Notamacropus eugenii: one gene and its partner. The protein of the gene in region 1 purifies or fractionates together with the protein of each later gene. This does not show direct contact. Links are inferred from orthologs where the notes say so. Each region holds a gene or a part of one and is shown in the gene's direction. Other genes may lie near its edges. The genes, in order: ABL2 and RIN1.

The links.
Region 2: the proteins of ABL2 (region 1) and RIN1 purify together in Homo sapiens (co-immunoprecipitation; 3 studies listed by BioGRID and IntAct, counting the BioPlex papers as one, with this or other methods). This does not show direct contact. The link is inferred for Notamacropus eugenii from reciprocal best matches to the Homo sapiens genes ABL2 and RIN1.

Annotation. Positions count from the first base shown.
Region 1 is NC_092873.1:466,386,723-466,401,832, forward strand, and holds the start of ABL2 (tyrosine-protein kinase ABL2), read left to right. Parts: upstream 1-9,557; 5' UTR 9,558-11,663; coding exon 11,664-11,787; intron 11,788-15,110. UniProt on the Homo sapiens protein: Non-receptor tyrosine-protein kinase that plays an ABL1-overlapping role in key processes linked to cell growth and survival such as cytoskeleton remodeling in response to extracellular stimuli, cell motility and adhesion and receptor endocytosis.
Region 2 is NC_092873.1:18,935,023-18,949,709, reverse strand, and holds the start of RIN1 (ras and Rab interactor 1), read left to right. Parts: upstream 1-8,169; 5' UTR 8,170-8,294; coding exon 8,295-9,035; intron 9,036-9,411; coding exon of another isoform or gene 9,412-9,592; intron 9,593-9,733; coding exon 9,734-9,848; intron 9,849-9,940; coding exon 9,941-10,013; intron 10,014-10,202; coding exon 10,203-10,294; intron 10,295-10,573; coding exon 10,574-11,317; intron 11,318-11,705; coding exon 11,706-12,011; intron 12,012-12,623; coding exon 12,624-12,755; intron 12,756-12,873; coding exon 12,874-13,025; intron 13,026-14,488; coding exon 14,489-14,687. Other genes in the region: BRMS1 (breast cancer metastasis-suppressor 1), read left to right, coding at 2,480-2,639, 2,726-2,816, 3,080-3,207, 3,372-3,451, 3,531-3,627, 3,701-3,793, 4,850-4,914, 6,527-6,566 and 1 more. UniProt on the Homo sapiens protein: Ras effector protein, which may serve as an inhibitory modulator of neuronal plasticity in aversive memory formation. Can affect Ras signaling at different levels. First, by competing with RAF1 protein for binding to activated Ras.

The DNA of each region.
Region 1 (15,110 bases):
TCGTGCCACATTTGTATATAAACTTGGTGGGACAAATGTTATATAGAAACTGTGTTAAGTCTGAGTTCACTCTCCCCAGAGATAGAGGTGTTATAGGGAACAGTGTTGCCTTTAGCATAGAGGGGAAATGTTTATGTATTTTGATATATCTTTGAAGTCAGTATCTCTTCATAAAAGCTAATTGATACTAATTCTTAGAAAGAACTGAGATGTTAATAATAGGCAGTTAACAGAAGGAAGAGGACCTACTGGAATCAGGGCTCGAGCCTACAACAGAAGAGAAGAGACACTACAGCCCCTCAGGGGTATTTCTAGAACTTTGGAGGAGCAATGTATCCACGGAAATTGAGGCCAAAGTTACTTTATAATAATTACCTTATTATAATAGGTTACCTTATAATAATTTTGTTCTATAAAGAGGTTATGAACTGGATTAGTAAAGGGAGTATTTAAAACAACGAAATTAAAGATCTTTGCTAAATGAGATCATCTTTATTCTTCTTCAACTAAAGCCTTACTAGTTTTGTGAAGGTTATTCTGGGTCCTTAAAAGTTATGGTAGCAGATTCACAGGTTCTAATTTTCCAAGCTGAGATTCTGGTTGTAGTCTAGACTCTGTTAGAATAGCTGTAGTCTTATCTCCTCTTCTCTGTTTGGCATTTAAAGCTCTTTATAATCTGGCGCCAATTGACCTTTCCATATTTAGTATATCTTACTCCCCGTCACATACTCTTTGATCCAGACAAACCAACCTTTTAGCTGTTCCTCAAACAGAGTAATCAATCAATCAATCAAGCAACAAGCATTTATTAAAAGTGCTTACTATGTCAGGCACTGTGCTAAGTGCTGAGCATACAAAGAAAGGCAAAAACATTCCATCACTTGCCTCTTTGCTTTGGCATGGGTTATCTGTTGCCCTGCCTGGAATGCACTCCTTTCTCACCTCTGTCTCACTGAAGTCTCAGTTTCTTAACAAATCTCACCTCAAGGGCCACCTTCTACTGAAAGCCTTTCTGATTCTCCCCAGCTGCTAGTGATACTTTTATTTTGTATATAGTACACACATACATGATGTGCATGCATGTATACAGTAAATGTGTATATTGTATAAGGCAGCATGATGTAGTTGGTGGAAATGGATAAAGATTTAGTCTTAGAGCAAAGAAGGCCTGGGTTCTAACCCACTTCTGACATATACTGACTGTAACTTGACTTTTCTAAGTCATATATGTATGTTGTAGATACATAAGTTGTATGTATAAGCTATAGAAAAGGTATGAACCTATATTGGTAGAGAGAGTTTCCTCCTCATCTGGAAGGTCTTCATACCAATAAAATCATAAGTGTAGGCCTTCCTTCCCATGTATATGTTTCCCCTATAGAATGCCAGCTGTTATAGGAACCGTTTCATTTTTTGGTTTTTTATCCGCTGTACCTACACAGTGCCAAACACCTATTAAGTACTTAATGAATGCTTGTTCTTTGGTTGGTTGATCTTTCTTCGGAGGGCCAGGCTGACTCAAGTTCATAATGGTGCATCTCCAGGTGGGCTGCAGGGTGGTTAGTTCCAGGACCACAGCAATTATTCGAAGGCTGCCTTTGATGTAGTAGGGGTTGGGTGGTGGTGGTGGGGGTTGAGACCTGCATTGGCGGAGGGAATGCCCACACTTTCACAATCTCAGAGCATACAGAAGGATAATTTTCTCCTCCCAACTATTTTAATCTGCACCCATCCCTCCAAATTTTCTTTATTTTCTGTTTCCTCAGCTGGATTTCAGAACTGCCAGTATGCAGAAACTCTGCCTTCTTACATCTTACTAACCCTGAAGTGGATGCAGTGACATTGCCTTCCTTGCTATTCCTCCAAGACACTCTATCTGTTCATTCCTGCATTTTCACTGACTGCCTGTCCCCCAAGCCTGGAGTTCTCTCTCTCTTCATTTCCATCTCCTGGCTTTCTTCAATCCCAGCTAAAAATCCTACCTTCCATAAGAAGCCTTTCCCGATCCCCCTTAATGCTCATCTCTTCCCTCTGTTGATTATCTCCAATTTATCCTGCCTGCATACACACACACACACACACACACACGTGTATGTATATACTATATGCAATATTGTCCTATATCTACAACTTGCTTGTACATGCCTCCTCCATCATGCTATGAATTCTTTGAGGGCAGACACTGTCTTGTGCTTGTCTTTGAATCCCCAGCACTTAGCGCAGTGCCTGGTACGCAGCAGGCTTACTCAATAAATGCTTATTGACTGACTGATAATGATCACAAGCATTCATGTACGCTCTAAGGTTTGCAAAACGCCTTACCAATGTCATCTCATTGGGTCCAACGCACAAACCTGCGAAGTAGGTGCTATCTCCATGTTACAAAACAGAGGCTCACAGAGGTCAGGTGCCTTGTCCAGGGTCACTGTCCTACTCAGGTCTTGCCGATTCGAAGTATGGACTGGCACCCCCGGCTTGGCACGCAGTGGGCACTCAGCAAATGCCCGTTGCTTGCCCACCCTGACGCAGGTGGAGGTCAGGGCCGGCCGCCCTCCGAGGAGTTGGAAGTGGAGGAGGACTGCGTGGGAGGCGCCCGTGGACCTGGAATGGAGGGGTTAGAGGCCGGCCAGGAACGGAGGACCAGCGCTCAGGTGGAGAGGGATGCACGCAGCTGGGGGCAGCCGAGCAGGCAGGGGAGGACAGGCCCGGGAGGAGCGGTGGGCGGAGACTTGGGCGGAGCCACGGCAATAGGCCCCGCCCCCATGTAGCGGAGGTGCCGGTCGGGGGAGGGGGGGGGGGGAGGGAGACGCTCTGTCCCACGCTCCGCCCGTGCTCAGTGGTTAAGATGGCGGCGGCGGCGGCGGCGGCGGCGGCGGCGGCGTTGGGGGCGCGGGGCCGCCGGAGGGGGAGGGAACGCCGGAGCCCGTGAGTCGCCCGCAGCCCAGTGGAGGCGGCGGCCGAGACCCCGCGCGCGAAGGCTGCTCGGCCGGGCCGGCCGCCGCCGCGGCGAGCGAGCTAGCGAGCGCCGGGCGGGGAGCCCCGAGGCCGGAGCCGGGAAGGGAGGAATGTGACCGGGGGTCGGCGGGGGCTCGGGAGTACGCGAGCGCGGGGATGGGGCAGCAGGTGGGCCGCGTCGGGGAGGCGCCGGGGCTCCAGCAGCCGCAGCCCCGCGGGAGCCGCGGCAGCAGCGCCGCCAGGCCGGCCGGGCGCAGGAGGGATGCGGCGGGGCGCGCGGAGGAGGCCGGCTTCAATATCTTCACCCAGCATGGTGAGTGAGGGAGGGGGCGAGCGGGCGGGGCGCGAGGGAGGCAGCCCCGGGGACCCCCGGCGACCCCGCGGAGGAGGAAGGAGGGGGAGGGGGAGGCCCGGAGGACGCGTGAGTTGTACCCGGGGGATGGACAGATGGACTCCTAATCCAAGGGGGGCGAACGAGGTCAGCAGATGAAACGAACGTAGGTGTCAGGAGGATGGGGGCGCAAGTCCGCCAGCTTCTAGGAACCCCAGTCTTGGAGACTCCCCCCCCCCCCCCCCCCCCCCCCATTGATCCTGGCTGGAGGTTGTTCGCATCGCTCCTCCCGAGCGGGCAGCGTTCGGGTTTTGTCTCGGTGTCTCCAAGCCCTCAGCACGCAGTAGGCGCCGAAGCCACGACGTGTAATCTGCGAAATGGAGACATAAAGAAGGGGGAAAGGCGCATCGGGCGCCTGGAGGCATGAGCCATACGGGACTTGTGCGGCTCCGAGCCCCACAAGCCTGGAGGGAGGGAGGAGAAGTAGGGGGCTGTTTCCCGAGGAGACTTCATTGAGGGACGGGTTTTCTAAAGAAGCCACTGTCGGTTCCAAGGATGGTTGGTGGTATGGATGGGTTTTTGAATGAGAAAGGAGATGGGGTCTGTATCCGGTGCTGCTGTACAGGGCTAACAGCTGTACTGATCTTTCCAGGGTGGGCCTTTGATAAAGGTGTCGTATGGGTTAATTTCTGTTGAGATGATTCCATATGGAGGAAAGTGTGGATAAACAGTTCTCAGGAAAATATTGATCGAAGTACTTTTGTGAGTTGTGCACTAAGGTTCTGCCGTCTGAAGCTTTCTTTCTCAGTGATCTCATGAGATCCCTTAGGTTCCATGATCATGGCAGGGACTTTGAAGCTGATAAATCCTGCACTAGTTTCTCTCCTGAGCTCCAGTCATACATTGGTCACCTGACCATTGGACGTTTCCCATTGGATATTCGAAAGGCAACTTAAAAATCTTTGTCTCAGTTGAGAAGTATTTATTGAGCACCTGCTTGTGTTCAGAGCACTGGAGAGAAAAAGACAAAATCAAAACAGTTCCTGCTCTCAAGGGGTTTCCACTCTACAGGGGAATACAATGTGCAGTATATTTCCTTATTCATACATACGTATACACATACATACATACGCACACATACAAAGTAGTTTTGGTGATGAAGCATTAGGAAATGGAAGTCTTTGCAAAAGCCTTTTTTTTTTTTTAAATCAAAGCATGCCTTTTTCCTAACTCCTCACTTTTGTCTGGGATATCACCATCCTTCCAGGCATCCTGGTTCACAACTCTGGAGTCATTGCATCACTTTTATTCCTCCCTCCACCCCCCCATTCAATCAGTTGCCAAGTTTTGTCAGTTGTTCATTTAACTTTATCAGTTCCTCACATGCAACCCCTTCACACCACTCTTACCACAACTACTATAATTTAGATGCTTCTCTTCTTGCTTAGGCTGCTGCTATAGCTTTCTAATTGGTCTCTCCAATTTGTATTCTACACAGCTGCCAAAGTGATTTTTCAAACACAGGTTAGACCATGTCACTACCCTCTTCAACAAGATCCCATGGCTCCCTAGTTCCTCTAGGACAAAATATAATCTCTGGCATTTAAATCTCTTCATCTCTCCCCAGTCTGTCTTTACTGACTTCTTACACATTATTCTCCTTCACACTCTATAGTCTTAACTAAAAGGGCTTATTGGCTACATATACCTTGTTCGAGACATTTTATTAGCTTTTGCAGACAATTCCTCATGCCTCTAATGTACTTCTTCATTGCCTCTGCCTTGAATCCCTAAGCAACTCCCTTTAACATTTAGCTCAAGTGCTGTCCCCCAGGGAAGCCTTTCCTTGTCATTTGTTCTCTTTCCCCAATTACTGGTGCCCATGTTATTTCCCATTTACATTGTATACTGTATTTGTTTATGTAGTATGTAGCACATGTTAGTACTCAATGAATAATTGTTGATTGAGAAATAGATCTAACCTAAAGACATGTTCTTTCCCCTTAAGAAATTTTCAGTCTAGCTGGGGAGATAAGAACAACACATGTGAAACAGTTATAGAATAATTTAAGATCAGTGTTGAGAAGAGAGATACAGAAGGTGGGACCTTAGTTGGGCTTTGAAGATGGTGGAAAGGAGGAGGGAAAAGGGAAGAAGGCATTTTAGATGAGAGTAAAGACTTAGAGGATGGATGTAGTGTTTGTGGGACACTGAGGGTGAAGATTTTGTTTTGAGTGTTACTGGAGAATGTGGATGGTGAGGTGGTAGGGTGCAACCATACAAGGCCTTCAAAGCTAGCTTAGAGTTGATTTGGTAGCAAAGAACATTTGAAAATTTTGGAGGAGAGGACTGGCATGATGTTGAATGAGTTAAAATGCACTTAGTAAGTTCTTACCACAGGTGAAGACATATAAAGTTAATGCCTTGGATACACTCAAGGAGTCCACATTATGGTAGGGGGAGACAGCATGTATAGGAGTAAGTTGGAAAGGTCCTGTGATCTTTAGGGTTCAGCAGTGAAGTAGATGGTCATACATTTTTCCTTAATATCATTTCCATTGATGAAACTGTGAGGTTGAGCTGTTTTGACAGTTCTAAGGACTTTGAGAATTATCTTTTCTGAGTTGTCTCTAGCTCTGGTTGCTGCAGAACCTGCAGAAGTAATTTCCGGGTTACCGTTCTATACAGATTAATTCCCTGGGTGATGGCTGCAAGAGCTAGGTTAGAAGCAGGGAGTGTGAAATGGGGGGCACAGCTGTTTACTAGATCTTTTGAGCACAAAGTCCCCCCAGGGTCTGAAGAAGGTGATAGTTGATGCAATGGCAATAAATGTTCTCTTAGAATTTGTGACAGAGGAAAGGAAGGTTACACATTCAAATGATTGTCTCAGATTTTTTTTTCTGAATGACAGTTTTCACAGGGTATAGATATATAGGATCCTATAGCATAATTTATTCAGTGCAAGTTAGCTTAGAAAGGTTGGAATGCTCTCACAATTAAAATAGCAGCTCACAGTTATATAGTACTTGACAGTTTACAAAGCTCCTTCCTCACAACTTTATTGAGAGGGCAAAAATCTTGTTGATCATAAAGTAATGTAAGAAAGCTTATTCTGACAATGCTATACAGAATGGATTGGAATTGGGGGAGATGAGTTGATGAGGTCAGCTATAGAGGGTTGTTGCAGTAATCTAAGCATGAAATGACTAGCATTGGCCTGACTTGGTGACAGTGAAATGGAAGGGAAGGAGTATGAAAGATGTCTCAAGGAAGACTAGTAGGGATTTGGTAATTGCCTGTAGAAAATGAAAATAAGAATCAGTCAAACCTGATTGTAAAGTTTCAAGTCTGAGTGACTAGGAGAATAGTGTTGCCATTTTCAAATCCAAGTGGTTTAACAATCATATTACTGAGCACCTGTTTTGAGGGAGGCATGACATTCAACCCTAAGGGTTTTGTACAAAGATACAATACAATATATAAGATACTATATATATATATATATATATATATATATATATATATATATATATATATATATATACACACACACACATATATGTGTATATATATATATATACATATATATGTATATATATATATAAAAGACATTTCTGTTTTCAAGGATTTTATAATCCAGTAGGGGAGATAAGACATTCACAAATAACTATAACAGAAAATGGACTGTGATAGGTGCATGAGAGCTATTTTCTATAGTGCTATGTAACATTTGAGAATAGAGAGATACTAACTATCCTAGAAGTTGCAAGTTGATCCTTAGGAGGAAGGGGGGGAAAGGAACAAGCATCTATTAAGCACCTGCTGTGTACCAGGTGCTGTTCTAAGTGCTTTACAGTTGTTACCCCTTTCTAAAGGGAAGAGAAATATTGTGATACTCAATTGATAACTCAAAAAGAGTAGACAGATATGGAAGAAAATAAAGAGCCCTTATTTAGAAAATTGAACATTTCATGTTAATTCTGAATTAATCTGCAGTACTTTCTTATTATGCTTTAGGAAAAATAGTGAAATAATAGTTGACATTAACTTTATAGACCTGGAATCTACAATAAAAAATTCTCAAACTATAACTGATACATGAACTGCTATTTAGAGTTAGAACTATATTGAAAGAAATCTAGATACCTATCATTTATATAGCTATTGTTCTAACTTCAGATAGCAATCTTAATCATCTGCATTCTTCAGTAACACCCAAACTCTTTACCATAGTTAGATACTTCTCATTGTCCCACAAACACTACATTCATCCTGTGACACACACAGTTCCCCTTATCTAAAATGTCTTCCCTTTTCATCTCCTTCAAAGACTGACTAAAGTACTACTTTCTCTGACTACTCCAAGTTACTTGTACTACTCCAGTATACTTGGATGTATGTAAAATTTATATATAATATTATATGTACATATGTGTGCACTCATACATATATACACATACATCTATGTGCATGTGTGTACACGCATATACACACACAGATGGGTAGACAGCACATCAGAGGTGGTAGTTAGCTCTTAGTCTGTTGAATTAACCAGAAATAACCAGGAAAAATGGACAGTGTATGGCAATGATAATGACAGCCAATTACCGTTTTGTGTTTCTTTACTTTGTTTCACACACTATATACATTGTTACGGTAGATTCCTTAACATTAAAATCCTCTACTTCATTGTGACTTGGCATTCTCTGGGTTCTTGAAGGTTATAGCAGTAGAAATTAAGGTCTGGCAGATGCTGCCAATTTGGAAAGTCTTGGAATATGGGATGTATAATAGATTGTGTATCTCCTTTCCATTTTAGCTAAGTTTGCATAGGCTTATTATATTAGATTATATTAGATTGGCAACAGGGTAGTACCTCTTATTAAACACAGCAAGTTTTTACCATCATCTGAGATGTCACCGTGGGTAATGATCTGCATTGGTGGATGAATTGCAGGGATTGAAAGTAGTCGAATATACTTCCTGATTTTAGTCTTTCATCCAAAATGTTAATTCTTTTCATGTGCTCTAGATAATACTTAGGAATACTAGAACAATAACAAGATTGTAGGATTTTAGAATTAGAACATATCTTGGACTTCATCTAGTCCAATCTCTAACAAAATTTATACAGCTAGGTGGTGGTATCGCTACAACTGAAACTTTACTTGGTTACTTGCCACTTGCCCTGTCAGTCCCTTCTGTGAGCATCATATGTTGTGAATCATTGTTGGTATTCAAGAGGTAAGAATACCACATGACTTTTCAGATTTTTGGTTATCAATGGCATTTTAAGACCTTGAGTTTTGTGTCCAAATCTGTGGGGTAGTATTTTATCTTCTTTATTTAATTTGATGATTTTCAGAACAACTCTGGTGGGTGAGTACTATCATTATTCCCATTTTATAGATGAGGAAACTGAGACTGAGAAAGTGATTATTTAAACTCACATAACCAGTATAGGTTAGGGGCAGGACTCAAATCTTGATTTTCCTATCTCCAAGTCTGGTATTCTATGCACTGTGCCACATTGTTCCCAATACAAATGAAACAGTATTTTCAGGTAGTTTCACTTATGTAATGAGCTGTTTTCTATAGTGCTATGTAACATTTGAGAATATAATGACCTATGTCATTATATTCCTCAAGGAATAAATCTCCAGAGAGCTAAACTTATCTGTATGAAGTCAGCTGGGTTTCTTTACTTAAAAACAACAAACTTTGTAAGTCATGCATAAGATTTGTCTGCATTTCTAACTATATGACGTTAAATTGTTTTTCAGTCATATCTGATCTTCTGTGATGCCATTTGGAGTTTTCTTGGAAGAGATACTAGAGTGGTTTTCCATTACCTTCTCCAGCTCATTTTACAGATGAGGAACTGAGGCAGACAGGATTAAGTCACTTGCCCAGGGTTATGCAGATAGTGAGTGTCTGAAGCCAAATTCGAACTCAGGAAGAATCTTCCTGACTCCAGACACAGCATTCTATCCACTGGGTCATCTAGCTGCCCCATATTATATGACAATACTGCAGTGTATTTGTATTGTATACATTGTATTGTATACAAATACACAACTTGTATTTATATTGGACGTAAATAGGTCTGACTAGACAAAATTGTGTTCATCTTCTGCTTTTCCAGGTTTCTCTTCTTGTATCCTTTATCCACACCATGATAGAGCAAGCGTTCTTCAAAGTCCTGATGCTTTCCTTCATTACCTATCAAAACTGGGGAAATCTGTTATTATTTATGTTTAATTTATGGTAAACTGATGACCACTAAAGTAAGTAGAATGATTTTTGTAAATATGTTATCTCCTTTGGTATTTGTGACCTTTTATCTATAATTGTAGACTGAAAGGCTTTTTCTTTTAAGACATTTTGGCCATGAGTAGGCAAGTGGGGAGTTTATGAGTACAGAGGTGGGTGGGGGTTAGGGAGAAGGAGAGGGTCCGTCCTTAGAGAAACTCCTGAATTTATACCCAGGTTTCTTCTGTTGCCTCCAAAGGCAAACTAGATTGTCTTTTTTTTTTTTTTTGTAAGTGACTGGGGAGTGGGACTAAAGTATATTAGGATCTCCTTCATGGGATGGTCTCATAAATCTTTTGGGGAAGATGACGCAGGAGTTCTGTTAGTAGACGAATCAACACCCTTGGAGGCCTAGGTGAGAGTAGTTGTAGAGGGAAGAGGTACTTGGGATCCTTGATCATCAGTTTCTTCCAGAGCCTAGAGCTGACCCTTACTAGCACAGAAATTTTTCAAAATCAATATGGTGTTAAATATGAGGATTTGGGGTATGTGACTGTTGCATTCCATATTTCCAGTATCTTTGTATATAAAGATGATACTGCTACTCAGATGTACTTCTTGAGCCCATTATCATAGTCCGGGGGAATCCATTCTTTCTGTCAGAAGATTGAACCTTGGCATCATAGGCATTGTCCTTGGACCAGGAGAGCAATGGTTATTAGCTGAATCTTCATTTAGAAATTTAACTAATTAGTGTGTTATATCTAAGTATTCTTTATTGAAAAACATTTAAGTAGTTTCATTTTCATTGGTGAGTCACACTTTACTCCTTATTATTATTTGAGGAATACCATTTAGAACCTTTAATAAAGGCTTAATGTAACCTTACTTACTATATTGAAATCATTGAACTAATCCATGCCTCCTTAGAAAACTGGGGGTAAAATTTTTTTGATTGTAGTGTTGTAACAATGTAAAATAAAGCTTGTCTTGTTTTGTCAGTGGAAGCACTTTAGAAATCTGCATTCTGATACAGTTATTCCTATCAGTGCACTGATTGTATGGTTATTTCTGCACTATCTTCTTTCCTTTATAGATTGCAAACTCCCAGAGGTAGGAGCCCTAGCTTATACAGATCCCTGTGTTCCCCAAAAGCACCTAGCTAGCATTGTCCTTGGCACATACCAGAGAGTCTATAAATGTTTGTTGAATGAGTGTTTGCTTTTTTAAAATATCCAATGTAGCTTTGATAGTTTTTGAAATTGAAATTTGAATGTTTTTTATCACAACCTTAATTGCAAAGACATCTTTATACAAAGTGATAAACAATAGCGGTTAATATATAAAAATATTACCAAGTATTCAAATGTTTATCTGTCTTCCACTGCCCATGTCACTAGGGGTGAAAGGGCTCATTAGTTGGGTTGGGTTTTCCTTTGAGGATATTGTTTGGTAACATTTTAAAATAATGGTGATAGAGGTAAAAACTGATGTACTTTAAAAAGTTTGTCTTAGAACTTTTCAAGTAGTTTTTAGTATCACCTGAAACTGTAGGTGATCTTTTTGTTTGTTTGTGAAATAGGTAACTTTATAGGAGTTTTTATTGTAACGTTACAGAAGTTGTGAACTTTCTTTAACGTTTATGCCAAGAGGAATTGCATATGTTATTTGTTTGTGTAGTTTGTATACATTTGTTATTTGTGATTTATGTTTAATACACAAATGTTACTCTATGGTTTCTGCTAATCAGATTTCAATGAGCATGTTAACTCTGCAGGTAAAGAGACAATCTTTTGAGTTCCTGATTGCTGTTAAATTAACTTTCTATGTTTGTATGTGAAATGTTGATGATTCTTGTGGTAACCCTTGGTTTATTGGTCACTGAATCTTTGCAGTCTGTGAATGTTAATTGCCAATAATGAGCTAATTAGAACAAACCTTTATTCTGTTATATTGGGTTGGTCATCTAAATAAAAGCATAGAGAATACGCTCTCAAATGTAATGCTTTGCCAGATTTAGAATTTTAAAAATCTCAATTTGAGACTCTTCTGACTTGATTCTTCTTACAGTTCTTGCTGAAATAGTGCTGAGTCTGCTGTGGTGCTGCAGCCGCCTCCATAGTGAATGATGCCAGTATATTGGCTTTTGATCCAGCAGAACACAAAGCTCAGCAGGACCAGGCCACTTGTGTTCCTGGTTTGCTTTCCAGGAAGGAGGAGTTTAGAAACCTTCTACTTTGTGTGTCAAGGTCAAGCAAAAACAGTATATACAAATGTAGTTCTGATAACTTGCTCTTTCAATATGTCAGATCCAGCAAACTGGAATGAATGAAGGTTAATTTTGTCTTTAGCATTTTGTGACCGCAAAGAAGCATTGAGTAAACATTTTTTCTAAAACTAAAACAACAGCCAAGAGCTAGCATTAGAAACACAGCAAGCATAATTGGTCTAAACATCCACGCCTTATGGAGAACACAGTTGATTCCTAAAGTTTTTGTTGATTTGTTGGAGTTATTTTCTGTCAAGGCTTTTATTTTCTTAAGCCTGAGATCTTAAAAAAATACCTCAAAGGATGAACATGCAAATTGACCTAAGGACATTGACTGCTACTATAACTCTTTCCACTTGCATTCTCTTGGTGTATTGTATTCAGGGTGAGACATTTTATTTATCCTTAGACTTTGAGTTTTAGCTATTAATAATTGTGACTAGCACTTGGGTTACTTGCTCATTTACTGCTCTCTACAACATCCTAAGTATTTGTGACTCAAATGTAAATTCATTAAAGAAATATAGCTGATATATTTGAATAAGACATTTTGAAACTGAAAATTTTTGAATAATTCTCAACACATTTTGATTGAGGATGCAGAAAAGGAAAAGTCACTATTAATCGTTTTCCTAAAAAGTAAAATGTATATGTGGTTTAAAGTGACTTACATTACTTACCTTGGTTACTGAAGAATTCAAGAAACTAATTATATGAAGGAGTATAGAAATGGGAGTCATGATAGTTGAGTTTAGCTTTGCTACTGCTGAGCTGGATGACCAGAGGTAATTCGTATCTTTGGGCCTTAGTTTCCCCATCTGTAAAATAAGGACTTTGGATTGGATGTTTTTTAAGAGTCTATGAATCTATAATTTTTAGCTTTAGCCTTTGTATGGGCGTTACCTTGATGTTGATAGATTTAGTGTCAAGATCTACATCACTGATTTAAGGCCATTGAACTTAAGGCCATTTAGCTAGAAATGTGAGCACAGATTTTGGCAGCTATAAACTTTTTTATGTATTGGTACAAGAACTAATTTTAACCCTATAGAGTTGTGTTGCTGGAGAAATCAAGGCTCTTGAAGGCCTGGGTGGGAGTAGTTGTAGAGGGAGGAAGAGCCTGGGGTCCTTGATCATCAGTTTCTTATAGGACCTAGAGCTGACCCTTGACCATATTTTCTCTAGAATACAATACACTTGTGTGGAGCTTTTGGATCAATATATACTTACAACATTTCTGATAGCTTACTGGTAACTTACTGTAAACCCAAATTCTAAGTGTCAAATGATGAATAATATGAAATTGATATTAACATTGGGGAATGCTTTTTGGAACTCATCATTATAAAATATTCTCAGTTATCATAAAATCTTACATTCAGCCAGCTAAACAGGTTTTTAGGTAGAAAGACCATTGATCAATATAGGCAGTTATTTTATTTACTTTAAAACTCAGATTATAATAGTAATACAGCCAAATTTGTACTATATAGGTAAATTCCACCTGATGGTGTTCATCAGTTCTTCAGATGCTGGGTAAAACAATGAAGGGAACAGTGCTATAGGAACATTATTTTAGCTATGACATAAGTAATATGGTAATGATGAGCAGACCACAGTCAACTTTTTAGCAGTTATGACTGAGATTATATCTGGGATATGATCGCTGATCTTTTTTGGATAAGATCAGTAATATTATAGTTAGATTTTTATGATTTTATGGTAAGGCTTGGTTAAAATGTTTTAATGGTATTGCAAAATGATTTTGGTCAAATCACTTTTAGGTTACAAACTTCTGAAGAACTCAAAGTATCTTACTTGAATTTCTGTAGAGTCATTAAGAGAAAGTATACTTTTCTCCATTTTAAAATTGAGAATGTTAACAGAAAGAAGTTTCTTTACTAGTATTATCTACAATTATAGGTATAAGGTAGTTCTTTTAACTCAAGCATTTTAAAAATGCATACTGTATGCAAGTTATTGTGCTGGGTACTAGAGATAGAAAGACAAAACTAAAAGTCTCTATGAGGGAAACAATGTGTACATTTAGAAGTGTATACAAAATGTATGTAAAGTAAGTACGAGGTAATTTGAGGAATGAGGCTTTGCAGAGATCTCGGAATGCTAAGGCTAAGAGGGATTGCATTTCAGGAATACATTGAGTTAGTCTTCCTATAGGCAGAGAGATAGGGCGTAGGATTTTGTATGTAAGAATTAATAAGAAGGGCCTTTTGGCTAGATCTTAAGGTGAAGGCAGATAAAGCTGGGAAGGATGATTGGAAGCAAGTTTTGAAGGGATTTAAATATCAGAGGAGGATGAATTTAATCCTATAGGTAATAGGATGTCACTGCAGTTTATTGAGCAGGGGAGTGACATAGTTAGACCTGTGCTTTGGGAATATCACTTTGTCAGCTATTTGGAAGATATATTGGAAAGAGGAGAGACTGGAGGCAGGGAAACCAGTTGCAGGAAGCTATTGCAATAAGACCATTTGAGAGGTATGAAGGCCAGAATGAAACTGACTAATATTTTGAGTGGAGAGGAAGGTATGGATGCAAGAAAAGGTGTGTTGCACTGGAGGTGTAGAATTGATGAGACTGAGCAGCTGATTGGATGTGTAGCACAAGGGAGAGTGAGGAGTCAAGGAAGAATTGTATCTGGAAAGCTGTTGGTAACCTTAGCAGAAATAGTGAAGTTTGGAAGAGGAATAGATCAGGGAGGGAGAGGTAATGACCGCTATTTTGGACATAATGAATTTCAGACTGCTATAGGACATCCAGATAGAAATGTCAGGAGGCGGATGATGATATAAGCTAAAGGTTAGTGGAGACTAGGGCTGTACATACAGATCCAGTGGTTGTCTACATAGAGATGGTTCTTAAACACTTGGGAGCTGATGAGTTTCTTCAGAGAGTGAAGAGAGAAAAGGGAAGGCCCAGGACAGATCCTTTGAAATAATTCTGCTGTTACAGCACATAAGGTTGGTGATTGAGTGAAGGAGACTGAAGACACAGGTGGACAGAACAAAGAGAGCAGGGTCACAGAAATATCAGAAAAGAGAGTATCCAGGAGGAGAGGTTGGTTCATCAACAATTTTAAATACTGAAGGAAGGTTAAGAAGTATGGTTGAGAAAAGACCATTAGATTCAGCAATTAAGAGGTCATTAGAACTTTGGAGAAGAGTAGCTTTAGTGGAGTGGATGGTCAGAAATTAGTTTGCAGAGGTTTAAGGAGGAATGAGAGGAGGGTCATTGAAGGCAACGAGTATAGATGACTTATTCTAGCAGTTTGTGAAAAGGAGA
Region 2 (14,687 bases), about 450 Mb from region 1:
GCGTCGCGCGTGGATGCTTGGAGAGAGAGGACCATTCGGTCCGAAGCTGCCCATGACCAGGAGCGGCTCCGTGCACTGGGCAGGGGTGCCCAGGGGGCACCGGGGACCTGCGCGTGGCCCCAGGCCCCTTCCCTCGGATCAATGACTGGCCGAATGGTGCCGTGTGTGCAGGATGTTTGGCCGCAGGGATGCCACCGTAGAGGCTGCCAGAGCCAGGATCCAGCCTGGGCTAATTTAGTAAGATACCTAGGTAGGGACGATGGGCAGCGGTTGTGAGAAAGATCCGGGGGTCTGGAGGAGATCGAAGGACCCAGGATGAGTCAGCAGCCCCCCAGGTGGAGGGGACCCACCCCTCTGTGTTCTCTCCCAGTCACCAGACCTCAGGCACACCTCCTCCTCCTCCTCCTCCCCCTCCTCCTCCACCTCCTCCTCAGCAGTATGGTACTCAGTTCTGGGGGTCTGCTTACTATTTATGAAGGATAAAGAAGCTGCGGAGTGTCCTGAGGTGGGCAGCCAGGATGGTCAAGGTCCCTGGGTCCAAAATGTAGCTGGTGGAAAATAGGGAGAAAAGCCTTCCCCTGCCCCCTCCAGTCCAAGGCCCAGTCTGGGCACAGGGGCCTGAGGCACTGTGAGGACCAGGCAGATTCTGTCTTGCAGCAGGAATGAGACTGTGGAAGGAGCAGGACCCGGGTTTGGGCAGGGTTAGCCTAGTTCTCGTTCCCATTCTTCTCTGTAGGGTACAGATAATAATAGCACCCACCCCCCACAGGTGTGGTGTGGACCAAATGAACTAATCTAATTAGAGGTGGCCCCCGTGGGTCAGGGACTAGGCCTGGAGTCAGGAAGACCTGATCCAGCCTCAGACACTTACTTGCTGTGTGTGATGTGACCCTGGGGAACTCACTTAATTTTTGTCTGCCTCAGTTTCCTGAGCTGGAAATGGAAATAATCGCTCCTACATCCCAAGGTTGTTGTGAACACTGTAAAGGATTTGCGCTGTCCCCAGCACCCAGTCGGTGGTTCTTTTTTTCCAGCGCTCTGGCAATGTTATTTGTTATTAACCTTTAAGGGCACCGGAAGAGCTAATTTAGGGTCTAAAAAGGTCTTCTGTGGAAAGCAGCTTCCTGTAACTCATCTGCATGGAATTTCCTTGGGTCGTGTGGGCCCCTGGGAATCTGGGCTCTAACTGCTTAGATGGGGGAGCCTGGGGGGAGAGGTGGGCAGTTCGTAGATTTCCCTTTCAGAGAAGGACAGCTGGACCCCTTTGGACTTAGACATTTCTGGTGAGGGCCTGGGACTCTTTAAATGGGGTCTCACTTTAGAGTCCAGCTTGATTTTGCCTTCCTTGGTCTGTGGTGTGGCTCAGCCAGAGGCTGGGAAGGTAAAGATTTGATTGTTTTGGGCTGGGCTCACCTTCTCCCAGGACAGACTGGAGGCTGAGAGCCAGGGTCATCGTCCCCCAGCCTGGATCCCCTGGCAGGAGCCTCAGCTCCAGGCTGGTTTTTTCCTCCCTGCCCTGTCACCACCTGGTGCACCACCTGGAGGGTGGGATAGAGATTTCTTTGTTTGACCTTCATGCCTCCCGACTCATCTTTACCCCTTGAACTCCCTCTCTCCTCTCTGCCTTTGCCATTGATGGCTTGCCCCCCACCCCCACATCTCTTACCTTCCCTGGTTCTCTGGTGTCTCAGACACCCCTCCCCCTCACCTGTACATGAGTACACATTATGTACACTTGAATGGGAGCTCCCTGAGGGTAACCCTAGATGGGGAAACTGAGACCCACCAGAGGTGACTTGATTAGCCCAAGGTAAAAAGGACATAGATTTCAACTCAGAAGGGAGTTTAGTCCAATCCTCATTTTACAGAAAAGGAAACAGACAAAGAGGGGCAGTGACTTGTCTGAGTGTCTGAGACAGGATTTGAGCCCAGTTTTTCCAGATCCCAAGTCCAGCCTTCTGTCCAGTACTCCCTGCAATCCCTGTGAAATGGCAAAGCCAGGCTTTGAAGCCAAGCCTTCAGACCCCATGTCTAATTGGGGCACCCTGGAAAGTGCTGGACACGGCCCCCAGAGAACCTAGTCCTGTGTCCTCTTATGAAGATTGAGGAAACTGAGAGCCCTACCCACCCACCACCCACCACCCAACCCCCAGGGCAAGTGACTCCCTGGCTACTTTGCCTTAGCAATGATACCCACAATCATGAAGGTTTCCTTCTGCCCTTTGGCCCTTACCTGCCATGTGACCCTGAGCAAGGCCCTGGCACTCTCTGAGGTGCCAGCATCATGTTGTGCCCACCGCAGGTTCATTCCTGGCTTCAGAGTTGGGAGGAGTGGAAACTTGGGACTAGAAGAGACCTGAGTGACCTCGTCCAGTCTTGTTATTTTACAGAGCTAAATTAGTCTTAGCCCACGGTTCTGTAGGGTTTTACGGCAGGCAAAGTATGGTCCCAAAAGATGCCCTCTCTTCTCAGAGTGACAATGCCGAGCCAGCCCCTGAGCAAAGAAGCCAAAACCTTGGAGGGGGATGGGGACAGGGATGGGGACTCTGCCCCAGAGATGAACGGGCTGGAAGAGGAGGAGGAAGGCAGTGAGGACGAGCAGAGTGCCAGCCAGACAGAGTCGGATGGCGAGAGCTCAGGTGAGCCTTTGGGACCCCTGTCCTCACCTCCACCCCACCCCGCACTGCTCCTGCTGGGACAGACTGACCGGCCCTGTGTCCTGCAGAAATGGATGATGAGGACTGTGAACGTCGCCGCGTCGAGTGCCTCGATGAGATGTCGGACCTGGAGAAGCAGTTCTCAGAACTCAAGGAGAAGTGAGTTCAGGGAGCTGCCTCCCTGCTCCCCTTTCAAAGCCTGGCATTCCTGGATCCCCTGAAGCTGAGTTGACACCCCGCCCCCCCAGAGGCAGGGGACCATGCTGGTGCAACCTTGCCATGGCATGATAAGAGGGCTTGGAAGACATGGGGCTGAATCCTGACTCTGCCACTAACTTTCTAGGTGACCTTGGGCCTCAGTTTCTCTCTCTGTCCAATGAGATGGTAGAGGTGGGTGGCATTCTTTGACTCTTGTTTCTCAGGCTGTTCAAGGAGCGACTGAGCCAGGTACGTTTTCGGCTAGAAGAGGTTGGGGCCGAACGGGCACCTGAGTACACCCAGCCCCTTGGAGGACTGCAGCGAAGTCTCAAGATTCGAATTCAGGTGGCAGGTGAGTGCCCTGACCCTGGGCCCCTGGAAGCTGTCTCTCCCCTTCCCAGGGGAGCTGTTCCTTCTCTCTCAGGCCCTGTCCCCACCACCACCTTTCTTGAGGTACCATCTGCCTGGGAGGTGCCACCCACCGGTCAAGATCTGCTCTTTCTCTCTTCCCCCCAGGCATCTACAAGGGCTTCTGTCTGGATGTGATCAGGACCAAGTATGAATGTGAGCTTCAGGGAGCCCGGCAGCACCTGGAGGTGAGTGGGAAGGGGGTACAGCAGAGCCAGAGGCAAGGGCACAGGTGCCCCCATGCCTGACCGCTGGCTTCCTTTTCAGAGTGAGCGGCTGCTGCTGTATGATGCCCTCCAGGGGGAGCTCCAGGAGCGGATTCAGCGCCTCGAGGAGGACCGCCAGAGCCTAGACATCAGCTCTGGTGAGGTGGGGGAGGGGGAACCTGGTAGGGTATGGGGTGAGGGCAGCCTGCTGACTCTCCCTCTCTGGCACAGAATGGTGGGATGACAAGGTGCACCCGAAGGGCAGCTCAAGATCCTGGGAGACCCTGCAGTCAGGCAAGAGGAAGAAGGCCCCGCTCGTCTCTGGTATCCTTATATCACAGGGGCCCTGGTGGAGGCCCCTCGAGGCAAGCCAGTATACAAGGGGCCCAGAGCCCAAGAGGCAAGGAAGGGATTGTGCCATACTCTGCAGGGAGGGCAGGGCTCACACCTGGAAGGAATCTTAGAGGCTCAACATTCTGGGCCTCCTGCTCTGCACAGGTTATGAAGGGCTGGGCCCAAAGGACAGAAGCCCAGCTCCAACCTGGGGCACCTGCACATCCTTCCTGTGAAGATGAGGTGGGGCCCCTTAGAGCTTCCATTCTGAGGCCCTTTTCAGGTCCTGGCTCTGACACATCCTGGCTGTCCTTCCCTGGGCAAGTCAGTCACTGCTTCAGGCCTTAGGTGGTCCTTCTGGGCTGTGTCAACATCAGGGGAGGGAACTGGAATCACAGCCCTGGCAGTTGTGGGGGTTATGCCAGGTGACATCAGAGCACTGGAAAGGAGAGGGGATTCACCTGGCACACATTAGGTACCTGCTGTGTGCCCGGGACTGCAGGCCCAAACTGTCCTTGCCCCTGGGAGCTTTAGGTCCAGAGAAAAGCCCCACAAGAATGTTGGAGTCAGATAGGGATGGGACCCCTGGGCCCGGGAAGGAGCCAGGATTTCTGTAGTGGGGTGAGAGGAGGCTGGGCATGGAGGCTGGAGACACAGGCTCCCAAAGTGGAGGCTGTCCCACTGGAAGGGTCCCTTTAAATGCCAAGCAGATAGGGAAGTTGTACTCAGTCCAAGGCAGTTGGGAACCACCTAAGCTGGGAATGGCCTGGGCCATGGGAGGACCCACCCTGGAGTCCTGTGGAGGCCTGAGACCCAGGGGGAGGCTTCAGGAGTCCAGCTTAGAGTCCAGAGGTGATTGAATAAGGAATGTAGCCTGAGAAGGATGACTTCTGAGGTCCCTGAGGCCTGGCCCTGATTGGCTTGGGGGTGGGTCTCTCTATACAATGATGATTATTCAAGTGACCTGGAGGATGGCAGAGGTGGGGGCAATGCCAATGTGGGTGGCCAGGCCTAGCTTCTAGTTTCCTTGACCCACGCCCTCTCCAGGTCCTTATATCGTCTACATGCTGGAGGATGTGGACATTCTGGAGGACTGGACAGCCATTAAGAAGGTAGGCAGATGAGGAGAGCAGCCAGGGGCAGGCGATGGCTGCTTTGACTTCTCTTATCTGGTGCCCTCCCAGCAGGGGCCTTTAGGAGAGGCCGCCTGGGACAGTCTGCTAAGGGCAGACACAATCACTGCCCTGGGGAGGGTGCAGGGAGTGGCAGCAGGCAGAAGGGAGGCTTAGATCAGAAGGTAAGGCACCCTGCTCCACTCCCAGGGGCAGAGTCCAAGTGTCCTTTGGAAAGCAGGCCTGGATGGAGTGGCTGGAGTTCGACCAAGGAAAGAGGGCCTGCCTCAGAGTCAGGACTTTGCCACCGCTAACTAGGTAGCTGTCATCATCCACAAATACGCATTTGGTGCAACATGAGTGCCAGGCACTATGCAAAGCCCTGGAATCCCTGCCCTCCAGTAGCTCCTGGTCTAGTGAAGGCTAAACAGGGTGGTTGGAGAAGGAAGACCCTGGAGCTCAGGGTGACCAGAGAGACTTCCCATAGGAAGGTGGGCTTGTGCAGAGATGGAGAGGGAGCACCCCTGTGGGGCTGGAGGGAACAGCCAGGAGGCTAGAGTGAAAGCAGGAAAGGTGAGTGGGGACTTGGAATGTTCTATATTTGCTCGTGCTAGTGTTTGGAGGGAGTCTGGAGTTAATGGGAGGGGGGGGTGATACGGTCAGACTTATGCTTTAGGGAGATCACTGTAGTGGGCAGAGACCTGAGGCAGGCAGACCTCCCAGCAGGCATTGCAGTAGTCCAGACTGTGTCAGGGGAGAGAAGGGTGTGTATTCTGGGAGGCTGAGAAGGCACAGGCCCTGGCTATGGAGGTCTGTTGAGTGTGTGGCATGCAGGGGGAGTCTAGGCTGAGAGAGAGGATGGTGGTACTCTCTACATGAGGTTGGAGCTCAGCTGGCTTAGGGCTGGGTGAATCCAGAATCAGCTGAATGGAAATGACCTTTGGATCCATGGGAACTGAGGATGGGTCTTCAGGGCAGGTGGGGCTCTCCCTGAACGGCCTCCATTTTTCCAGAAGTGTCTAAGCTTGGGGCAGGAGCCATCAAAGTCTTGAAGAGGAATGGGCAGGTCTGAGGAAGCTGCCCTGATGTGGGGAAGAGCCAGTGGAGGGTTAGGGGGAGGTGCCTACTGGAGATGACATCCCTTGTAGCAGGCCCAGTCAGCTCCATTTTGTGATGTTCACTGGTGCCATAGGTGGGAAGGCTGCAGATAGTAGGGGAGCTGGGGCTTGGAAAGGTGTGATCAGCCATAGGCAGTGGGTGTGGAGTGGAAGTGATCAAAGGGTCAAGATAGGGAAGGAAAGAGGGTATAGGGGGGCAGAGCTCAAGATAGGGAAGGAAAGAGGGTACAGGGGGGCAGAGGCCCCCTAACCCAAGGCTGAGGGTGTGACCTCTGTGCCCCATGTGGAGCTCCTGACGGGAGGGCAGGGGAGGGGTCAGCTGTCCATCTGCTGTCCTGCCTAGAAGCCCCTTGGAAGGCCATTGGGGTAGGAATCCAAGGCCCTGGTTCAAATCTCATCTCTCAAGTTTGCTTCTTGGTACATCCCCTAATCCCTGAGCCAGGAAGGACTTGGAGGCAGCATGGCAGTAGGGTACTTTTTCTTCTCTCCCCCAGGCTAAAGTCGCTGTGTCCCCACAGAAGAGGAAACCTGAGGGTAAGGGCAGAAGTGACCCCTTCAGGCCTGCCCATCACCCTCTTCACAGGGTCGAGGAAGGGGGTGGTCCTGTGGGGAATGTTAGCTCCCACTGCTCAGGGGAAGAGGGGGAGGGGTTTGTTGGCTCTCTGGCTGTGACCCTGGCTAACCACCAAGCAATCCAACCTTTCCAGTGCCACCTTGAACAGCTCTGATCCTCAAACGAGGATGCCCAAAAGACTCTGTTTGAGGCTGCTGGCCCTCCTTCCTGGGGCATCCACACAGCCCTGCCAGTCCCATTCTCCAGTCCCACCTAGACATGCTTCCCTCTCCTTCAGAAGGTCCACCTTCTTGGCCTGGGGCTACTGCCCTGCCACCTAGGTGGGACTGCCCATAGGTGATCTCATGTCTTCTAGCCCCTGAAGGGCAGACAAGCTGCACCCAAGGCCTGACCGGACACCTGGGGCTCCTGGACCGGCTCCTAGGCCCTCCAGCCACCAGATGACTCCATGGTCTGAACTCTACCACCCTTTTCTCCACCGTCTGGTCTCTTGACAGCTGGGATGCCACCGGGCTGTAGATGTGGGGCTGACTCAAATGTCCTGGATGCCCATCCTCAGACATGGGGGCCTCTTGGGTCTCCTGTCACTTTCACTCAGAGCCAGTAGACTCTTAGAATGGCCCAGTGTCAGCCAGCCTTTGCTAGCCCAGCCCCTAGGGCTCTGGAAGCCATGCTGTTGACCCAAGGCTGCCAGGGGTAGGGGCCCAGGGCCAGCTGGCATCTCTGCTGTTCCTCAGAAGCTCCTTGAAATGACATATTTTTGGATTGAGAACGAAGGAGCCCAGGTTTTCTAGGGTCCTGGGAATTAGAATCATGGAATCATAATTAAAATTTAATAATTAAAACAGCTCTGCCCTGCCTCTCGTGTACCTGTCCCGCATTTCCTCCCCTCCTGCCAGGAGACCTTAATGAGGCCTCCCGCTTTGGCAGGGTAGGGAAAACCCACCTTCTCCTGGAAGGGCATTCCCCCCCCCCCCCCGCTGGGAGCAGGGGACAGAGGCCCTTCAAGACCCCAGTGCCTGTGGGCCAGAGAAAGGTAGTGCTAGCATGGTCTGAGCTCTCTGCCAGCAGGCACCCTGACAAGCCGGGAGCCCAGGCAAACCAGGGATTAGAAATCTGTAAACTGGATTGGGAGCAGATCTCGGATTGACCTCAGAGGTCAGACAGGCTCAGGAATCCTGACAGGAGGGCTCGTTCTTGCTCTCTCCTGTTCCTTCCCCCTCAGTATTCCTCACAAATCAGAGGGGAAGGGACTTTAGGAAGCACCGGGTCCTAGGAGCCTACCAGGGCATCTTGTTCCAGATGATGAAAGAAGTCAATTGCCCACGCTCACACCAAGTGCCACAGAAAGGCGCACAGTGGGTAGAGTTCTGAGCCTCCAGGCAGTCAGGATCTGTGCTCAGATATGCCCGCAAATGGTCACTGATGGTGTCAGTCATCTAACTTGGGTCTGCCTCAGTTTCTTCAATTGTAAAATAGGAAGGGATATTTGTAATATGCTCAGAACAGTACCTGGCACATGGTAGGTGTTTAATACTTGTTCTAATCCCCCCACCCCAAAAAAGGGTGGAATCCAAACCCAGTTCCTCTCACTGCAAGCGCCTGCTCTTGCCCACTTGCCCCTGGCGTCTCTAACTCCAGTGACCTGTGAGAGGCCCCAGCTGGAGGCAGGGCAGGGCAGCTCAGGAATGTACATCCTGGGAGGAGTGGCTTCCAGTGTCCCAGACCTACCTGGCCCAGCCCAGCTGGATGGGACCCAAAAGGAGCTGGGTGGGAGGGGAGAAGGCAGAGAGGCCTTAGCTGGGCTGTGCACTGGTGACCTCAGAGCTGGGCTTTTCCCATCCCCCTTTAATGCTGTCAGTGCCACCCCCAGAAAAAGGGGGTGGTTACCATGGCAACGATGTGGGGGAAATGCAGCCTCCTCACCATGGCAACCTAAGAGCTACAAGAGAGATGCTGGGGGGAGGCAGCATGCAACCATGAGGGGGCACTCTCGGAGGGAGGGGACTGAACCCAAGGATGCCCCATGGGTGAGTCACCAAGCCCTGCGTGGGCCCAAGGCAGATGCCCAACTTAACCCGCTCCTGTCTGCAGGTTTGGGGGCGGGGAGAGCCTGGGATGAGAGAGTTGAACCGAGCTGCTCCGGGCATTGTGGTCCTGGAGCGCCTTGGGATGGTGAGCAGCTGGTGCTAACTGGAGCAGAGGCAGCTGGCACTGCGTGGGCCCAGAAGGGGTGCTGTGGGCAGAGAAGAGTTAACATGTTGGGGTGTGCCAGGGCTGAGCTCCTCTCAGGAAGTGTTACTCACTGGAAATGTGACTGCGCCTTCGCTCCGGGCCCTGGATTCTTAGTCTTGAGAGGAGGGAAAAGGGGCTCTGGAGAGCCCTGTGCCAACCATGGAGCTGTCTGGGGAAGCCAGCTCTGCTTCCAGGTAACTCCCCGGAGAAAAGTTGGGGAAGTTGGAGGCTGGGAGCTCGTGTGTGTCCCTGTGTGTGTGCGTGTGTCCCTGTGTGTGTCTCCCTCCCCACTGTGTGTGTGTTCCTGTGTGCTTGTGTGTGTGGGCGTGCGCTCATGAGACTGGGGTGAGGGGAAGGTTAACATGCAGGGGACAAGGAAGAGGAGAATACACAGGAGGTGGGGAGAGGAGACTGGACAGGGAAGGAAACTGAGGCAAGGAACACAAGTGGGAAGGAGAGCGCCCCCCCTCCCCAACCCCAGAAGAATCAGCTCCAAAGGCTCAGGGAAGGTCTGGCAGCAAAAAAGAGGCAGCTGTTTCTCAGACCCATGTCTCTGTCTCTTTCTTGCAGCCTGGCTGGAGACCCCATCTATGATGTCCCAGAGGCCAGGGGAGAGCAGACTGGCCAGCTCCAGTGCCCCGGGCGCACAGTGAGCCTGCGAGAGCGGCTGCTTCTCACCCAGCCCGTGTGGTTACAGCTTAGTGCAAATGCTGCAGCTGCCCTCCACGTGCTACAGAGGGAACCCCCTGGGGTGAGGGACGGTGGGTGGCCATGGGCCTTCCTCCAGGAGGCTAGGAAGGATGGAGGAGGAGGGAGACAAGAGGAGGCTGGGGGTATGTGAGGGAGAGGCCCAGGCCCCCTGGCCCTCTGAACCTCCCCCCTCCCTCACCAGACGTTCCTGGTTCGGAAGTCCAACACCAGACAGTGTAAGGCCCTGTGTGTCAGGCTCCCCAAGGCCTCTGGACCATCCTTTGTCTCCAGCCACGACATCCAGGAAACCCCTGAGGGTGAGGCCCGGGGTGGGGGAGGGGATGGGGGGGCTGGCAGCCTGAGGAGAGGGCTGCCTCTTCCCAGAACTGACACCTTCCCTTCCTTGCAGGCGTCTCCCTGGAGGGCTCTGAACTCTCGTTCCCAGACCTGATCCAGCTCATCTCCGCCTACTGTCACAGTCGGTGAGCAGACTGGTGCCCCCTACCCCCTACTCAGTGGGGAGCTCACAACATGCAAACCTGGACCCGACTCCCCCGCATCCGCCTCCCCTTCTCCCCATCCAGGAAGCCCCCCAATCCCGACTCGGACTCTGTTTGCAATAGAGCCTGGGTTCCCCTAGATCCTGACTCAGTCTCCTCTCTGCCATCCAGAGACATCCTGTTTCTCCAACTCCAGCTGCCCAGAGCCATCCGCAGGGCTACCACCCACAAGGAGCTAGAAGCTATATCTCATCTGGGAATGGGTCTGTACTCTTCTGCCCTTCTGAGCCACAGAGCCAGAGAGGAGGGTCCCAGTGGACTCAATCTCCCCCAGCTCCCTTCTGGGGGCAGTTACCCTTGGAAGAGACCTAAAGGGCCATCTCTGAGATGGTCCAAGCCCCTCATGTAAAAGATGGGAGGGAGATGGAGAGCCATGGGGCCACTGGGATCACCGAGCCCATCTGTGGGCTGGCCAGTCCCAGCCCCTTGTGTTACAAATGGGGAAACTGAGGCTCAGGGTCTCTGAATTCTCTTTTCCCCAGAGTTCTGGAACTCTTCTCTGAACAGCAAGGCCCAGGGAGGCCTAGCAGTCCCTCCCACCAAGGCCCCACCGATTCCCCGCCTGAAACCTCGGTCCCCAGAGGAGCTGGACCAGGGGACCGGAGGAGCCCTCTGCTTCTTCAATCCCTTGTTTCCTGGGGATTTGGGCCCAGCCAAACGGGAGAAATTCAAAAGGAGCTTCAAGATTCGGGTGTCCACTGAAACCTCCAGCCCACTGTCCCCCCCTGCTGTCCCACCGCCCCCCGTGCCGCTGCCCTCGGGGGGTCCTCCTGCCCAGACTCAAACTGAACCCCCTCGCAGGCTGCTGAGAAGGGAAAGCTCAGGGGGCTACCGGGTCCCAGGGAGTACTGGCCCAAGCCCAGCTCCTCTACCCTCCCTCCAGGAGGTGGACAGTGGCTCCCCCAGCAGCTCGGAGGACGAAGGTGGCCCTCCTGGGAGGCCGGGCTCATCCCCTCTCCCAGGGCGGAGGCGCCGGCTGCTTCGGTCCATGAGTGATGCTTTCTGTTCCCTCCTGGCCCCCGAGAGACAAGTGGCCCGAGCTGTGGTGGAGCTGGCCCGGGACAGACAGACAGTCACTGGGCAACTCGTACAGGACCTGCTGACCAAGGTGCGGGCAGGGCCTGAACCCCAGGAGCTACAGAAGGTGCGGGAGGTGCTGAGCCAAGCACAGACCCTGATGGTGGCTGAACTGGCCCAAGAAAAGCTATTAGCTGAGGAGAGACTGGGTGAGTGGCACCCCCTCCAGCTCTGAGACCTCAGGCTCATCCTCATCCCCATATTTCTCCCCTATTTCCTCAGTTCTGCCCCTCCCCCATGCTAGCTCCCCACTTTCCTACTCATTTCATCCTAAATGCTCTTATCACACTCCCCTGCCTCCAGCACATAGAGGGGCAACATGGGACAGTGCGTAGGACCTTGGCTGTAGGAAGCTCTGGATTTAAATCCTAGCTGAGCCTCAGTTTCCCCCTAAAGCGTTGGATCAGGAGCCTCTCCAGGCTCTAGGAGTGCTAGCTCTGTGACTCTACAATCCCCCTTCCCTCCCTGGCCCATCCCCTCCCTCCTTGCCCCCTCCCTGCCTTACCCTCCGGGATCTTTCCTCTTGCCCCTTTCCAGAGCTGGTGATAGAGAAATCTCTGCAGCGCTCAGTGCTGAAGCCCCTCCGGCCTCTCCTTCTGGCCCGCCTGAGGCTCCGCTTGGCTCAAGATGGATCCTTGGGCCGGCTGGTAGAGGGCCTCCAGCTGGCCAGGGCTCAGGGGCCCAGAGCCTTGGGAAGCTGCCTCAGTCTCCCCTCCCCATCTGAGATGGAGCGTATCCGGCAGAAGCTGCTGAAACTCCTCCAGGGCTACTCTCCCACGGCCAAGGTCACTCGTCTCCTGCAGGCCTGCAAGCTACTCTACAAGGCCCTGAGCAGCTGGGCAGGTACCTGCCTGAAGGGGCAGTATGGAGGACAGGGCATGTGGCATCTTATATGGGAGGGAGCTTAGAATGCATGACAGACCATGTCAGAGCCAGGAGGGACCTTCAAACTGAGAACTGGAGCATCCGCTTGCCCACTTCAAAGTCTCTGGGTCTCAGTTTCCCCCAAACCATCCTAAAAGGGACCACAGTGGCCCTGGGGGGAAGGAGAGCTGTCTTCCTTTGGTTTCCTGGCCTGAAGTCAATGGCCTCTCCTCCCCTACCTGCCCCTAGCATTTCTGGCTTCCAAGGAGGCCCCCAGTGCAGCTTTGGGCTGAAGGCTCAGTTGTCCAGAGATCCCATCCCTCTCATCCTCCCAAGACCTTAAAATCCAAACAGTGGAGGGGTCCGGGCTGGGCTGGAACCCCCCTTCCTTGTGGAACAGGGAGATGAACAGAGAAAGACCAATAGCCACTGGGGACTAGGGGACACAAAAGAAACACATCCCCAGGTATGCCTGAGCCAGAAGCTGGGGTGAGGCTGACCCAGGAACCACCCGGCCCCTGCAGGGTTTGTTCCCCAGCTGTAGTCTGTGGAAAAGACAGAAGGGGAGGCTAAGGGTTTCTCCCTCGGCAGGGGAGAATGCCGGGGCCGATGAATTCCTGCCTCTGCTCAGTGCTGTCCTGGCCCAGTGTGACCTCCCAGACCTGCTGCCCGAGACTGAGTACATAACAGAACTGCTTGAGCCCAGTCTGCTCACAGGGGAGGGTAAGCACCCCCCTCCTCATTCCTCCTCTCCCTCCTCCCTGTCCTACTCCCCCAATGCGGCCACCTGCCTCGACTAGCTTCTGTCCCATACCCTCACCTGAGACCTTCCTGTCCTCAGGGGGCTATTGCCTCACCAGCCTGGCAGCCAGCCTGACCCTGCTGGGGAGTTTGAGCCAGGCTGGCTCACAGCCCATCAGTCCATCCCAAGAGCTCCAACGCTCCCTCAGCCTCTGGGAGCAACGCAGACTCCCTCCCACCAGGAACTTCAAGGTAACCTGAGGATCCTGCCAAAGAAGGGCAGTGGATCAGAGCTGGGAGGGGCCTTAGAACAGGGAATGTCAGACCTGGGAAGGAGTTTAAAACAGATGTTAATGCTGAGAGGGACCTTGGAACATGGAATGTCAGCTGAGAAGGACCTTGAAATAGATAATGTCAGAGAATTGGGAAGGAATCAGAGCACAGAATGTGAGATCTGGGAGGGCCCTTAGAGATGTCAGGGCTGGGAGAGGCTTTAGAACGTGGAATGTCACAGCTGGAAAGAACAGACTTTGTAAGATGAGTCTAGACTTGGATTCTGCAGACCACCTTTGACACTAGCTTAGTGACCCTTCATGAATTCTTTTCCTGATGGGTCTCAGTTTTACCCTCTGTCAAATGGGGAGGATAATATCTGCTTCATAGAGTTATGAGGAAATCTGACAGAGTCCTAGAAATGGAGCTCTCAGTTCAACCCACCTCTCTCTCTCCTGTCCAGCCTGTCTCAAGCCCCCTAGCTGCTTCCTCACCCTCTCCCACCCCCCCCCCCCCACCTGACTACTCAGTCATGTGTCTCCCTTTTCTCCAAAACATGCTCCCAAGCTTCCAGGAAGACTCAGAGAGGAAAGGACACACAAAAAGGACACAGGAAAAACAGCCAGTCTGGCAGTCTGAACTTGACACCATCTCCCACCTGATCAGTGACCAAGCAGGGTCAATGCCAAGGCCTTCCTGTTGGGGGTGGCTCAAGGCCTGAATCAATAAGAGGAGGGATGGCTTGACAGGCAGGGGGGACAGCCAGGTGCAAAGTCTCCAGGTAGGAGATGGTGCCAAAGTTCAGACATCAGACATCAGATCTTTCTGACATCAAGGGCAGCTGTTTAACAGGGACCAGGTTTAGAATTGTTAGTGCTGCTTCAGATGTGAAAGAATTCATTTAGTCAATTCTCTCCTACCCAAGGGGAGCTCTACTGATGCTGCTTATTATTAGGCTAGCCCTGGAAGGAGGGGTGGAGGGGAGACAAGGAATTTCCTGGCTCAGGGTAAGGGGGGCATTTTGTGGTATTCCAAGAGAGGGGGAGACTTGAAGGTGCCAGGGAAAGAGCCCCTCAACCCTTAGGGCACCTTTAGAGGATTAACTAGCAAAAGGGAAGCTCACCTTTGTATTCACATCAGTAGGGCAGTTATTGTTAAACCATTAGAGCAAATCGTGTTTCGATAGCGCTTTCTGGCTTCTAAGTACTCGAAGAAGGAAGGTGGGCTCAGGGTTACTATCCCCATTTTCTAGATTAACAAACTGAAGCTCAGGAAGCCAAATTCACACAGCTCAGCGTTGTCCTGTGTCCCCTCCTCGGGTCCTCCTCCCAAAGAAGAAAGCCTTCTTTGCCACCCCTCCCCCACAATATCCTAGGACCCAGCCCTTGGCCATTGGTCAGGTGTCAGGGTCTCACTGACCCTGGGTCCTTCCCCTTTCCCAGCATCTCCTTCGGGTGGCTTACCAGGACCCCATCAATGGCTGCACCTCCAAAACCTTGGCCCTACCCCCGGGCTCCTCGGCCGCCACGCTGTGCCTGCTCTGTGCCACCAAGTTCCGGGTGCCAAAACCTGAAACCTTTGCCCTCTTTCTGCATGATGAGAAGGGCTCCCGCCGCTTGGCTCCGGACACCCTGCCCCATG